2 linked regions of the Sus scrofa genome follow. The protein of the gene in region 1 binds, or shares a complex with, the protein of each later gene. Links are inferred from orthologs where the notes say so. Each region holds a gene or a part of one and is shown in the gene's direction. Other genes may lie near its edges.

Region 1 (7,096 bases):
CAGTGCCCCAGGAGAGGTAGTGCCTCACTGGGTTGTTCTGAAGGTAAAGTGAGATGGTAGAGGTGAAGGAGGCTCTCAGGAAGTGTTAACTGTTATTAACCACCACACAGGAGCTGCAGCCTACCAAGGCGTGTCTTCCATGTGTGCACGTGGCCCACTGCAGGGAATCAGCCTGATCCTGAGTCCCCTGAACCGAGGCGGGACCCCTGAAAGAAGGAGGAGGACCTGGAGCTCAATAGCAGCCTGTGTGGAGGGGGGTGTTTCTTGACAGGACTGCACCGCCACACCCTGAATCCCACTGCCTGGGTATCTTCAAGTGAAAGTTCCCTCATTAATCCAGATGCAGAAATATAAATTGGGTCATTTTGGCTTTGCACGTTAGGATTGAGAAGCATGGGAGATCTGCAGTTTGCCTTGCGCTCTTTCGGTTGAGAAATCCTCTCTTGTCAGTGCCCTGGTGCTGCCCAGACTCAGAGAAGCGGAGTCATGCTGGGAACTGCTCATGAGAACCTGAGGCACAGTAGTTGGAGTGTCATTTTATTTTTATTTTTATTTATTTGTTTGTCTTTTGTCTTTTCAGGGCCGCACCAGTGGCATATGGAGGTTCCCAGGCTAGGGGTTGAATTGGAGCTGCTGCTGCCGGCCTAAGCCACAGCCACAGCAATGCAGGATCCGAGCCACATCTGCGACCTACACCACAGCTCACGGCAACGCTGGATCCTTAACCCACTGAGCAAGGCCAGGGATCCAACATGCAACCTCATGGTTCCTAGTTGGATTCGTTTCTGCTGCACCACGATGGGATCTCTGAGTGTCACTTTATTAATTTGCAGTGAAAAGTATTACTGGCACGATGTTCCTGAGGGCCTGCCACCACTTTCATGCCTCCTTGAAGGAGAACCATGAGAGAGGCCAGCTTGATTAAAAGGCTGCATTGTGAGCGTGGTACCAAGTTAGGCCTTTGAGTATTTATAGGCTTCAAGTTCCACAACAGGCTCTGACCTGAGGCTGAACCAGATGACTGATGATTAAATCATTTTCATTTATAGATAGTGTGGGATGAGTAGGACCAAGGGTCTTCTCTGTCTGATTCTTGTTTTTCTTTCTTTTTCTTTTTTCTATTTCTTTTTTCTTTTTTTTCTTTCTTTTTTTTTTTTTTTTTGCTTTTTAGGGCCGCACTCTCCGCTAGGGGTCCAATTGGAGCTGTAGCTGCCGGCCTACACCACAGCTCACAGCAACGCTGGATCCTTAACCCACTGAGCGAGGCCAGGGATCGAACCTGCAACCTCATGGTTCCTGGTCGGGTTCGTTTCTGCTGTGCAATGATGGGAACTCCGATTCTTATTTTTCAATTTATTCTCCTAAGGGGCACTTTCTTTGCTGAGGGATTTTAATGCCTTTGGCATAGTCTTACTCTGATTCAGAGTTGTGTTACCCTCTTTAGGGGACTTTGCCTCTTTTTATTCTATCTCGTCTGTACCTTGAACACAGTGTGCTCGGGCTCTGTGTGTGTGTGGCCCACACCGCCTGAACTTTATTGCGTCTCTTGAAGACTTTTATCAGGGATGCAGTTCTTAACCGTCAGCAGTGTTTCTCAGGCTCCCCTTTCCTTTCCTCCCCACTCTCTCACACCCTGGATGCTCGGAACTCGTCATTTGGCAGATCTCACAAGCACTTCTGCACAATTGGATGTTCAGAGGTTTTTCTGTCTCCTATTTTGGTAACGAACTTTCTACTGTCCTTTCCTTTCCATTCAATGCCTGGATTTTCCTGAGTGATAGAAAAAGCCTGAGAACTGACACAGTAAGCAGCAACCCTTCCTACTTTCTTTCCTCTTCTCTAGCTGATTCTGGCTCTCTTTGCTTCCTCCCCACGTCTTCCTGATTCTCTGTCACCAGTGCAGGGAACTGGATGGGCTAAGGATCACCCCTGCCCCCAACACACACCTCCTGTGGGGAAGTCGAGAGAGATAAAACCAGAATTATTTTAACGAGGGAAGTGAGAGATGGAATAGTCATTAGTTATATCTCATTCATCCATCCATTCATTCACTCAGGAATCATTTATTGAGCACCCGTCATGTGCCAGAAGCTAAGAATACAGAGGGAAGTAAGACACCATCCTGGTTCTAATGGAGCTCAAAATCTAGGGTAGGCAGTGGTGTGCTGGATGGAGCCAGCACTCACCCACGTGCAAGAGCTGCTTGTTAAATTTTTAGGAATTTGTGAGTCAGTTATTAAGTATAGTCCTTATTAAAAATAAAATTAAGTAACTTACTAATAAATTACATTAAAAACAAATGTAATAAAAACTCAAAACTCATCAATTCCTAGTTATTTTACTGATGTCTATGCCCTTTAGATTATGTCTGTTGTACCTGTGTCGTGGAAATGCTTGCTGGTGATATAATACACATTTCCTCCCAACTCTGAGTGTTCGGTGACATCACGTTAGTGGCTCAGAGTCTGCTGTGGTGGCAGTATTTACACAAAGGAAATTGCGAAGTGTTACAAATCAGGACTCCCTTTTTTGCAACCAACCGTTAAACATTTACCAGCACACACTCTGTGGGGAAGACAGAGAAGTCAGTGGTAATTACAGTGTGATACAAAGGGAAGCACGGAGGAGGGAAGTTAATCCAGGGTCGTGGAGGACCATAGGGAAGACAGATCTTCAGCAAGAGGTCTGCAGGGCTGGTAGGAAGGAGCTAGACATGGGGCAGCAGCTGGGGATAGGACACAAGAGCCTGGAGTATGCAGGCATTTGTATCTAAGCTCTTCAGTAATGAGCACTCTTCAGGACAGTGATGAGATTATGAAGGGCCAGGACAGGTCTCTGAGATTTAGTCTGAATGCAGTTGAGGAACCAGTGAGAGGTTCCCCAGAGAATGTTTCCACGCGCACAGTGACAGTCTGTAAAGGTCATTCTGGAACCTGCAAGGCAGGTAGTGTAGAAATCCAGGTAAGAGATGACGACGCCTGGACTGAGGTCGTGTAGCAGTGGCCATGGGAAGGAGAAGGGGTGGAGAGATACTGGAGGCCCTGGGACGGATAGGACTTGTGGTCATATGTGAGGTGAGAGAGAAGGGTGAGATCCCAGTTTCTGCCTAGGATAGGTGAGTGGGTGGTTGGTTATGCCTCTGGGATAGGCTTTAGGGAGGGTGGGAGAGCATCAGTTGCATGTCAGTTTCCGTGAAAAGTCCAAGTGGTGGAGTTCAGACAGACACTGGGAATCTGGATCTGGACTTTGGAGACAGGAGAGGGTAGGAGAAAAGCTGTGGGAAGTGGTGTGCCATGAAAGAGGGCCTGCTGTTTAGAGTTTACATGTTTTAATTTACAGTTTTTACATAATTAACATTTTATGTGTATTGATTTTTAGTTTAACACTGAAGACCAACCCTTCTTTCATTTTTTTTTTTTAATCATTGGGGTTGAGGGTGCTGGTTGGGGGAGAACATCATACTCTGCTCTACTGTCTATCACATGTAAGGACAAGTGGAGGGTTTTCAGGTCCGATTGATTGATAACAAATATGTAGTGAAGAAACTGGGGTATTGCCCTATGCTGGGCAGCTGTATGAGAGTCCTCAGACGTGTAGCTTTTCCTCACCAGGAATGTCGAATCTAGCATGAAGGGGCTGTGTGGTGAAATAGGTGCTGTGAAAAGGTAACCAAACGCAGGTCAGTGTTCTATGTGCTGGTTGAGTTATAAGCCAGAAGTACTATAGCAGTTAGGGAAGGCAGGGATCACTTAGGACTGAAGTATTCAAAGGGCTTCATAGAAGAGGGATAACTTACCTGGTCCTGGAAGAACAGATATTTAGATTATGGTACAGGGGAAAAGAGGGGAAATCTATTTGCAGTGGATGGTTCATCTGCTCAGGGCATAATAAGTACTTAGTAAATATTTAGATTCAGTCCAGGTCAAGGATGGCTTTGACTTCTGGGCAAGAATCATGACTTTATCACATAGACTGATGCTCTTTCAGCTTTTTCACTACAGAGTCCTTTGAAAGGACATTTTACATAGCCATCCAGTATGGATGACTGTTTTTGTCTAATGCTATAGGAAAGAACAGGGATCCTGACTGGCCTGTACTTTCTTGCCATCTCTGTTGTTGGTGACCCATTTGAATCTTAAATCTGGTTCTACTAGAATGTTACTGAAACTCTGGTCCTCTGAGCACTGATGAAGGCTCCACTGGTCGGCCGCCAGAGCTTCAGCTGTGGGGAGAAGGGCATGTGTAAATTAATGTTGACTTTGGAGACCATTTGGTTGGTTTCATACTGCTTGCCAGATCATGACACTTTGAAGGCCACATCCCCTCAGCTGGGCTGAGTGAGAGTTCTTGGTGTGGCTTTAGTAGAGTGGGCTTGGAGCCAGGGAGGGGGTGCTTAGCTGGAGCATCTTTGTGCCTGGAGAAATCAACTATTTTGTGCTTCACGTAAGAGCATTTATTAATAAACACTTTTCAGCAGAAAACATGTTGTGGCTGTCTGCCTAGAGGTGTGTGTGTGTGTGTGTGTGTGTGTGTGTGTGTGTGTGTGTAAGCGAGTGAACGAGAGAGAGAGTCAACAAGGGGGCAGGAGAGGTAAGTTTTAGCTGGATCTGGGGAGGTTGGACAGAGATTGGGAATATACCTCAGTGTGGTTTGTGTTTTGCAGGTGGGGAGGTGGACGCACCAGTTTTGCCTGGGATCAAGAGCAAAATATATTAGGGATTGGGCTTTGATTGGGTGGGAGTGAGCTATGTGTTGGACACTAACTAGTTAAGATCTAGTGTCGGTGCGGGGAGAAAGGTTTAGGGAGAGAAAGGTGGAATCTGGCAACTCTGCCTGAACCTGTGATTCTAGGCTGGGGTGTGTGTGTGCGGGTACACATGTGTACACTTCACTGCTGCAGGGTGTAAGCTGTAGTGGAAATAGCTTGGGCTGCTTGGGTTTTAAGGGCACTTGAGCTCAGATGCTGTCTCTGCCACGTATTATCTGTGTGATCTTGTGCAAGGTTCTTAATTTCCTTGAGGCCTCAGACCCTCTTTTTCCTTAGCTTCCTGCTCTGTGGAAGGTCAACAAGTTGCCAAAGAAACTTCTACTTTTCAGAAACCAGGGATCCAGAACCTCCTTCAGACTTCTCATTATTTTCCCAGAGGGGCAGAGCAGGGGAAGCAAAGAGACCTTGGGTTCCTTCTCCTATCAAGCCTTGCCACTTCATCAAGGGTGGAAAGGACTTTGGATGGAATGACGCAACCATATATCCTTTTTCTTGCCAGCTCTGTGGTCATCAGCCAGTCACTCTTTGAGGGAGGCTTTCGTGTGAATTGCATTTGTTGAACTTTAATCCTGATAATAGGCAATCTATGTTTGAGGTCTTTTGGTAAACACAACTCTGTATTAACAGAGATGCATCATTATTGGGCCATCCGGAAGGCTGGAAAGTGCAAAGACCAACACAACAAAGAGGAGCAAACCTCCCAGTTAATAGTCACAGTGGAGATTGTTGTCACTGCTTCCAAAATGGCTTTATTTGGTCTACATCTAGTCTCTGCATGGAAAATGCAACTAGTAATGTCCACTGGACTTTTATGAGCTCTAATCTTATCAGTTCCCTGTCAAAACCCTTCAGTGGTTCCCTGATTGATACCAGATTATGTTTTCTCTTTTTTAAGTCTCTCTACAATTTGAAAACAACATTTATAATGAATATTTGTGCCGTGTTTTACAGTTTCTACATTTACTCCAGGAATGCATTTAGAGTTTAGTATTAGAAAATATATGTGTTGTATACAACATTAAAAGCTTTAAGGAAAAAATCCATATGGTCATCTCAATAGATTCACAAAAACATTTGAGAAAATTCAATGTAACTTTTTGATAAAAAATACAATGGAATTTTCTTAATTTGATAAAGGGCATCGACAAAATTCTAAAACAAACATGCACAATGGGGAACACTAGAAACGTATTTTTTAAAATCAGGAAGATGACAAAATATTCATTAGTGACTTTATATTCACAGTTGTGTGGCCATCCTAGCCAGTGCAAAATTTCTGTCAAAAAAGAAATTAGAACCCTAAGAATTGGAAAGGAGAAAAAAGGACTCTTGGCCGTATATGCAGGGAATGTGACTGCTTATGTAGAACACCTAGCTGAATCTTCAGAATCTTTGCTATAATAAAATAGAAACAAAAACTGTTCAGTACTTAAGAATAAATTTACTCAAATATATATAAGATCTTCATACATAAAAATATAAAAGTTTGAATGACATTAAAGAAGATCTAAATAAGTGGAGAGATATTCCATGTTCATGGATTAGAAGACAATAGAAAGATGCCAGTTCTATCCAAATTGCTCTATAAATTCAAAGTAATTTCTATCAGAAGCCTATCAGAGTCCTCATGGAGCTTGGAAGTTACTACTAAAATTTATATGACAGATGAAAAAACTGGAATAGCCAAGACACATCTGAAGCATGGTAATAGGATTGGGGATGTGCCCTACCAGACTTAGACCTTATTATGAAGCTGTAGAAATGGTGTGGTATTGGTAGAGAGTTGGATAACCTGACTAAATGGAGTAAGTAGGAAGTCCAGAAATAGTGCCCTTTATATTTGGAACTTTGATGTATGACTAAAGGTGGCATAACAGGTAAGTGGGAAAAAGAAGTATTCACTAAGTGGAACTTATGGGAGAAATAATATCCATGTTTCATATAGTGACATAAAAATCAATATCAGATAAAACTTAAATATCAAAAGCAAAACTGTTAAACTTTAAGTATAAAGTACAAATTTATATCTGTCTGGCCTGGAGTCGGGAAGGATGCCTAACTACAAAAGAAATTATACTTGTGGGGTTTTTAATATAAAGGTTTTCTATCTTTATTGGGTGCTCCCCCTCCTTGATAACATTCTCTGTTTTGAGATTTTCGTCTTCGATCTTTCTTGTCCTGTGATCAGCTACCTTCTTTGCACCCGGAATGCAAAGAGTCCCAAAGTTCAGGGGTCTGTGGCTTACATTTTCCTGCTGAACTGAAAGTGGAAAGGAAGCCAGAAAAGGTGTCTGCTTTGGTCAGCCAAGCTGTGGTCTGGCACTCTGA
Region 2 (6,497 bases), on another chromosome or scaffold:
CTAATATGTATATATTTCTGGCTCTCATCTCCTTTTTATTCATACAGCAAGTATGAACAGAGTAAGAACACAATCTATAAACACTTCAACTCCAAAGTCTTCCTCAACAGTGTTTGCTCACTGAAGTTGGAAGAAAATTAGATGAATGTGCAAGAGGGATAACAGGAAAAAAATGATACTTTTATTATAGACTGATCGTACGTCCTGGGGTTTTAAGTCTTAGAAAAGTAGGAATTCCAACAAGATTGGTATCTCATTTTGATATAACGTGGTAACCCTAAATCAGTAAAATTTATTTATTTATTTGCTTTTTTTTTTAGGGCCACACCCACGGCATATGGAGGTTCCCAGGCTAGGGGTCCAATCAGAGCTACAGCTGCCAGCCTACACCACAGCCACTGCAACACAGGATCCAAGCCACATCTGTGACATACATACATCACAGCTCATGGCAATGCCAGATCCTTAACCCACTGAGCGAGGCCAGGGATTGAACCCACAACCTCATGGTTCCTAGTGGGATTCGTTTCCACTGCACCATGATGGGAGCTCCCAGTAAGATTTATTTTTATAAAACTCTTTTGTATATGAGAATATGTCCCATTTAATTAATTAAACTCTTCTTATGCAATTTTCACTAGTATATTTCCATTTAATTTTTAATCTCCTTCAATCTAAACCTTCATTAGATCAGAAGTCATAGAGAACGACAGACTGTGTATAAATAAGCATTGAGATTATCATGTTCCTCCTTATTAAGCAGTTTTCTTATTTACTTTTCCCAGTTCATTGCATGGGTTGGCTGGTACAATAATCAGAATACCTGGGTTCTATAACCTCAGTTGTTTACCTTCTAGATTCCAGTCTCCCCATCACAAAAATAGAATACTTGCTGAACCTATATCACAAGTCTGTTATAAGTTTCAAAGAATAGAAAAGTGCTTTGAAAGTGTTAATATAGAGGTTTCTTGCATTATCTTTTACATTTTTCATGGTTTTCCACAATTAAAAAAAAAGTACCATAATGAAGAACCCATGTGGTTCAGTGACTTAAATATCTGGTGTTGTCACTGCAGTGGCTGAGGTTACTGCTGTGGTGTGGGTTTGATCCCTTACCTGGAACTTCGCATGCTTGACTACAGCCCCCAAAAAAGGTACCATAATAGTTGTACAAGAAATTTTCACATGCTTATTTAATTAAATCCCTGGCCATATTATTTTGCTTGTTTCACAACAGTTTCACAACTGTTTCCTAAAATTCATTTTAGACCCACTCTGTAAGTTTTGATTTATAAATCAGTGAGAGGAACTTATGAGTCTTTTCAATGAGAATGATTTATTAAGCATGTGTGATAAGTTCTAAATAATTTAAAGACTTAGTGTGGTGTTCAGATTAGGAAACTTTTCACTGATGGAGACATCTGTAATTGATTTTTTTCATCTATTTGGATATCTTGTGCTCCAGAACTAATGAAGCTCACAAACCATCTACCTCCTTGTTCTTGCTATTCTAGAAATACGTACTTTTTATCATTAATAAACAGAAATATCAGTTAAAAATTAAATGAGATTTTAGTTTTCTGAAGCTTGTTGAAACTCACTATGGTATATTGAAAAGAGAGCATTCTTATTTAGGCTTCAGAGCTCCAGGCCTGGTCCTGCTGGTAAGTAACTGTAGGAACTCAGGCGTGTCAGTTTACTTTCTCTGGGCCTCATTTCCCCATTATAAAACAAGTGATGTGGATTAGACTTCTGATGTTCTTTCCACTTTTAACTTTCTATAATTTTTTTAAAACTCTTCTAAGTATTTATCTGAGGAAATTTATGAAAAGCTTAGAGTTGATACTAATATTTTTGAGATACTATTTATTATATTTAACCTAAGGTGACTATATAATTTGACATCCAAACAAGAAGGAACTTTTGAGAGTGAAAGGGATTCTGTTAGTAATTATACCAGGACAGCAGCTTTAAATCGGAGCTATCCCAGATAAACTAGACTGTCTGGTTACCCTATCTGTACCCAATATGTAGTTCTGCATTACTAGCCATAAAAGAGTATTAATTTATCAATTTTAATTCATTTTCATGGTTTCTGTTTTTTTCCTTATAGATCCACCGTGTGTGGAAAGTAGTGCAGCATCATGCCAGCCATCTCCAGCTAGTAAAAAAGGGATGTTCACAGATGACTTACACAAACTGGTGGATGACTGGACAAAGGAAACAGTAGGAAATTCTCTTATTAAGCCAAGTTTAAACCAAATTAAACAGAGTCAACAGAAACTAGAGACAGACAACTGGAACAAAGTATATGAAGTAAGTTTTTTTATACCTGGTCCTATTTATTTATGAAAACTAAAACAATAAAAATTGATTCACTTAGGCCTGTGGATATAGTCACTGTGAGAGAGTGGTATGACTTGACAACATAGAGACATTTATCCTTGTATTGATTCATTATGTCTTTGAGAAAACTATCTTTTAGGCCAAGGGTCAGAAAACTTTTTCTAGGAAGGGGCCAGTTAGTAAATATTTCCAAGCTATGTGGTTGTAACTACTCAACGCTTCCAAAACAGCCATAGACAATACATAAAAGTGGGTGTGGCTTTGTTCCACTAAACCTTGGTTTGCAAAAAGAGATGGCAGGCCATAGATTGCTGATCCTTGTTTTATGCTATTATACCTTAAAAAAAAAAAAACCGTCAAGTTATCAAAAAAGAAAGCAAAGGGAGTGAGGATTAATTCAATCTTGTGGTGTAAGAACAGTTTGGACTTTGAGGAAAAGCTATCTTATGTTACTTGTACATCAGTATACCCAGAGCCCATAAGTAATCTTATGTATTCAGTATGAAAAAGAACTTTAAAGGTCTTTAAGCTAGAGCTTTATAGAAGATGTCTTAAGTTTATGGATGAAATATCTACTTAATTGTATATGGTCTTAGGTGTACATGCAGTTGAATGTACAAAGATGTCCACAGTGCATTCTGTAGTGGGAAGAATACAGGCTCATAGAATAGTATATATACTAATTATGTAAAATTATACACATTACATAGATATATATACATGAATATATGCATAGAAATAGGAAAAACCATTAAAATATGCTGGATGGTAGAATTTGGGCCTTAATTTTACTTTGTACTTTTCTGTTTTTGAATTTTTAAAGTAAGAATCATGTTTTCAAAATGAGTAAATCTAGGAGTTCCCTACTGGCTCAGCAGGTTAAAGATCCAGTATTGTCACTGTTGTGGCTTGGGTTGCAGCTGTGGCACAAGTTTGATTCCTGAACCGGGAATTTCCACGTGCTGTGGATATGGCAAAAAAAAAAAAAAAAAGAGTAAATTTACTAAAATGTGAGTCAGGGCTTAGAATTTGAATCCATGTAACTAAGAGATATATCTGAGTGTGTGTCTGTTATGTTTGTGTACACGTGTGTGTGTGTAGTCATTGCATGTAGAAAGTCTAAAAATACATTCAGTGTTAACATTGAATAAAAATTTTCAAAAGCCTAGATTTTCCAAACTAGCAAGTAGTATATCTGCTTGAGGACTCTGTGTATTTATATTATTCCTGGCACCGATTTATACACAGATAGTATCACCATTGTAAAAATTAGAAGCCTTTAGAGGTAAATTTCAAAGTACAAATGCGTTGGCGCTGCCAGTGAGAGATCCTCTGAATACTGTTTGAATGGAGGCCTTTGTTGACAAATAGGAGGGTGGTTTATTGCAGTATAATGAGGGATGTTTGGAGGAAGAGTGAATAGAAGATGGAGTATGAATAAAAGTGGTAAAGGTCGGAGTTCCCGTCATGGCGCAGTGGTTAACGAATCCGACTAGGAACCATGAGGTTGCGGGTTCGATCCCTGGCCTTGCTCAGTGGGTTAAGGATCCGGCGTTGCCATGAGCTGTGGTGTAGGTCGCAGACGCGGCTCGGATCCTGCGTTGCTGTGGCTCTGGCGTAGGCCGGTGGCTACAGTTCCCATTCGACCCCTAGCCTGGGAATCTCCATATGCCTTGGGAGCAGCCCTAGAAAAGGCAAAAAGACAAAAAAAAAAAAAAAGTGGTAAAGGTCTTTATATAGACTTGGGTTCCAGTGTCAACTCAGTCATTTACTAGTTGTGTGACTTTAGACAAGGCATTTGTGCCTCAGTTTTCATGTCTTTAAAATAGGGATAATACCTTCCTGTGTGGCATTGCTGTGAGGATTAAATAAGGTAACGTCTATGGAGTGCCTAGCACAAAGTAGTATCCTATTTATGCTATTTTTGTATTTTTAGGTTCAGTTGATTATATCTTTGTGTGGAGAGCTCATTGCACTATCTAATGTTCTTGCATGTTCTGTAGTCTTAGAAAGTTTTGTCACAATTATGTGCTAGGTCCTTTACTATGTGCCAAGCCCTATGTTAGGTACTGTGTTTGATTAGCAAAATTGAGTATGTTCTCTGTATAGGACTTATATTCTAGTGGGACAGTTAGATGTGAACAGACTTGTATAAGTAAATGTAAATTGCAGCTGTAATAAGGACTACAAATGAGAGATTATAGGATACTATACAGTAAGGTCAAGGAGTTCCTATTGTGGCACAGTGGGAAACAAATCTGTTTAGGAACCATGAGGTTGCAGGTTCAATCTCTGGCCTCACTCAGTGGGTTAAGGATCTGGCGTTGCTCTGAGTTGTGGTGTAGGCTGGCAGCTGTAGCTCTGATTAGACTCCCTAGCCTGGGAATATCCATATGCTGCCGGTGTGGCCCTAAAAAGCAAAAAAAAAGGGGGGGGGGGAAGTCAAGAAAAGCTTCCTTAAGAAGATGATGTTTGAGCAGAGATCTGAAGGATGAGTTAAGTGTTAACTATGTGAAAGGGGGCGGGAATATGATTCTAAACAGAAAGAATGGCATATGCAGAAGCCCCTTATGGGGAAAGGCACCGTGAAAGGACTGAAAGCAGGTCCACTAGCCCGAAATGAGGAAAGCAGAGAGGAGTTGCTATAGAGTGAATCTAACTAAGGAGATAGGTAGGGTCTTAAAAGTGATGATGATAAGGAACTTTGTCTTTATTTTAAGGGAGATGGATAGTCCTTGAAGCCCCAAAGTTGATATGATCAGATTTGCTTTTTGAAAAGGTCACTCTGGCTTAAAGTAAGAAGAAAGATTATTGAAGATAAGGGTAGATAATGGTAAACCTGTTAAGAGCTAGTCACAGTAGTCTCAATAAAGAGAAGTTGAACAACTTGATAAATCAACTATACTTCATTTGAAAGAGAGAGAGAGAAGTTGAGATGAAGAGAAGTGAATAGATCCCAAGAAATGTTTAAGGGATAAAAATGGACCAGATTTAGTAATAGAATTAATGTTTTGGCAGAGGGGATGTGTGAAGGCTAGGTTTCTGGCTGGTGTAACTGGCTGTCATTCCAGTAACCAATCATCACGATGGGGAACATAAGCAGGCAGTGTTATAAGCAGTCAGTGTGTGTTTTGGTAGGCGAAAGATCATATGCTTGTTTTTAGTCACTTGAATCTGAGGTTCCTTTTAAATATCCAGGAGAAGATTAAATATAACAAGTCATCTCCAATTCATTCTTTTTAAAAAATAAAAATCACATTATTATTGTTTGTAAATGAAAAATATTTGTTATAGAACTTAATCAATGCAGAAAAGTACAAAAATTTAAAAGGGAGTTCCCTTGTGGTGCAGCAGGTTAAGGATCTAGTGTTGTTTGCTGTGGCGCAGGTTCAATCCCTGGCCTGGGAATTTCCACCTGCTAAGGGTGCGGCCAAAAAAAAAAAAAAAAAAAAGATAAAATACCACCTTTTTTTTTTTTGTCTTTTGTCTTTTTTGTTGTTGTTGTTGTTGTTGTTGCTATTTCTTGGGCCGCTCCCGCGGCATATGGAGGTTCCCAGGCTAGGGGTTGAATCGGAGCTGTAGCCACCGGCCTACGCCAGAGCCACAGCAACGCGGGATCCGAGCCGCATCTGTGACCTACACCACAGCTCACGGCAACACTGGATCGTTAACCCACTGAGCAAGGCCAGGGATCGAACCCGCAACCTCATGGTTCCTAGTCGGATTCGTTAACCACTGCGCCACGACGGGAACTCCAAATACCACCTTTAAATTCCACCACCCAAAAGTAATAATCACTAATTTTAGATAAACATCATTTCAGATATCAATGTCTGTATATAGATACATAGAAATAGCTTTATAAATGTATGATCATAATATATGTGCTATTTTTTAAATCAGAGGTATTTAATTTTAACAGAACAAAAATATTGACATGAAAAAGGGATCGCTGGACTTTAAATAAATTTTTTTTTCACCTCAAGACATCTTGTTATTCATTCTTGAGTCAAGCTAAAAACCTTTATCCTAACTTTAGTTTGAAACTTTAGTTGAAAGGGTTTTAGCTTGACCATTAATTTAGAAGAACTAAAAATTTGAAATTTATACGAAGCTCTCCTTTAAGTAAGAATTATTTACTCCCATTTAGA

What was found.
Region 2: the proteins of KLHL3 (region 1) and WNK3 are in contact, whole or in part, in a crystal structure (PDB 5NKP), measured with the Homo sapiens proteins. The link is inferred for Sus scrofa from reciprocal best matches to the Homo sapiens genes KLHL3 and WNK3. Residues at the interface, in NP_059111.2 of Homo sapiens: Lys312, Arg339, Phe355, Gly357, Arg360, Thr386, Phe402, Gly404, Ser405, Gly407, Ser432, Ser433, Tyr449, Gly451, Arg454, Cys456, Ser481, His498, Arg528, Tyr577; in NP_065973.2 of Homo sapiens: Glu537, Cys538, Glu539, Glu540, Thr541, Glu542, Val543, Asp544, Gln545, His546.

What each region holds. Positions count from the first base shown.
Region 1 is NC_010444.4:139,738,783-139,745,878, reverse strand, and holds the start of KLHL3 (kelch-like protein 3), read left to right. Parts: upstream 1-3,137; 5' UTR 3,138-3,179; coding exon 3,180-3,262; intron 3,263-7,096. UniProt on the Homo sapiens protein: Substrate-specific adapter of a BCR (BTB-CUL3-RBX1) E3 ubiquitin ligase complex that acts as a regulator of ion transport in the distal nephron.
Region 2 is NC_010461.5:46,926,802-46,933,298, reverse strand, and holds part of WNK3 (serine/threonine-protein kinase WNK3), read left to right. Parts: intron 1-2,113; coding exon 2,114-2,316; intron 2,317-6,497.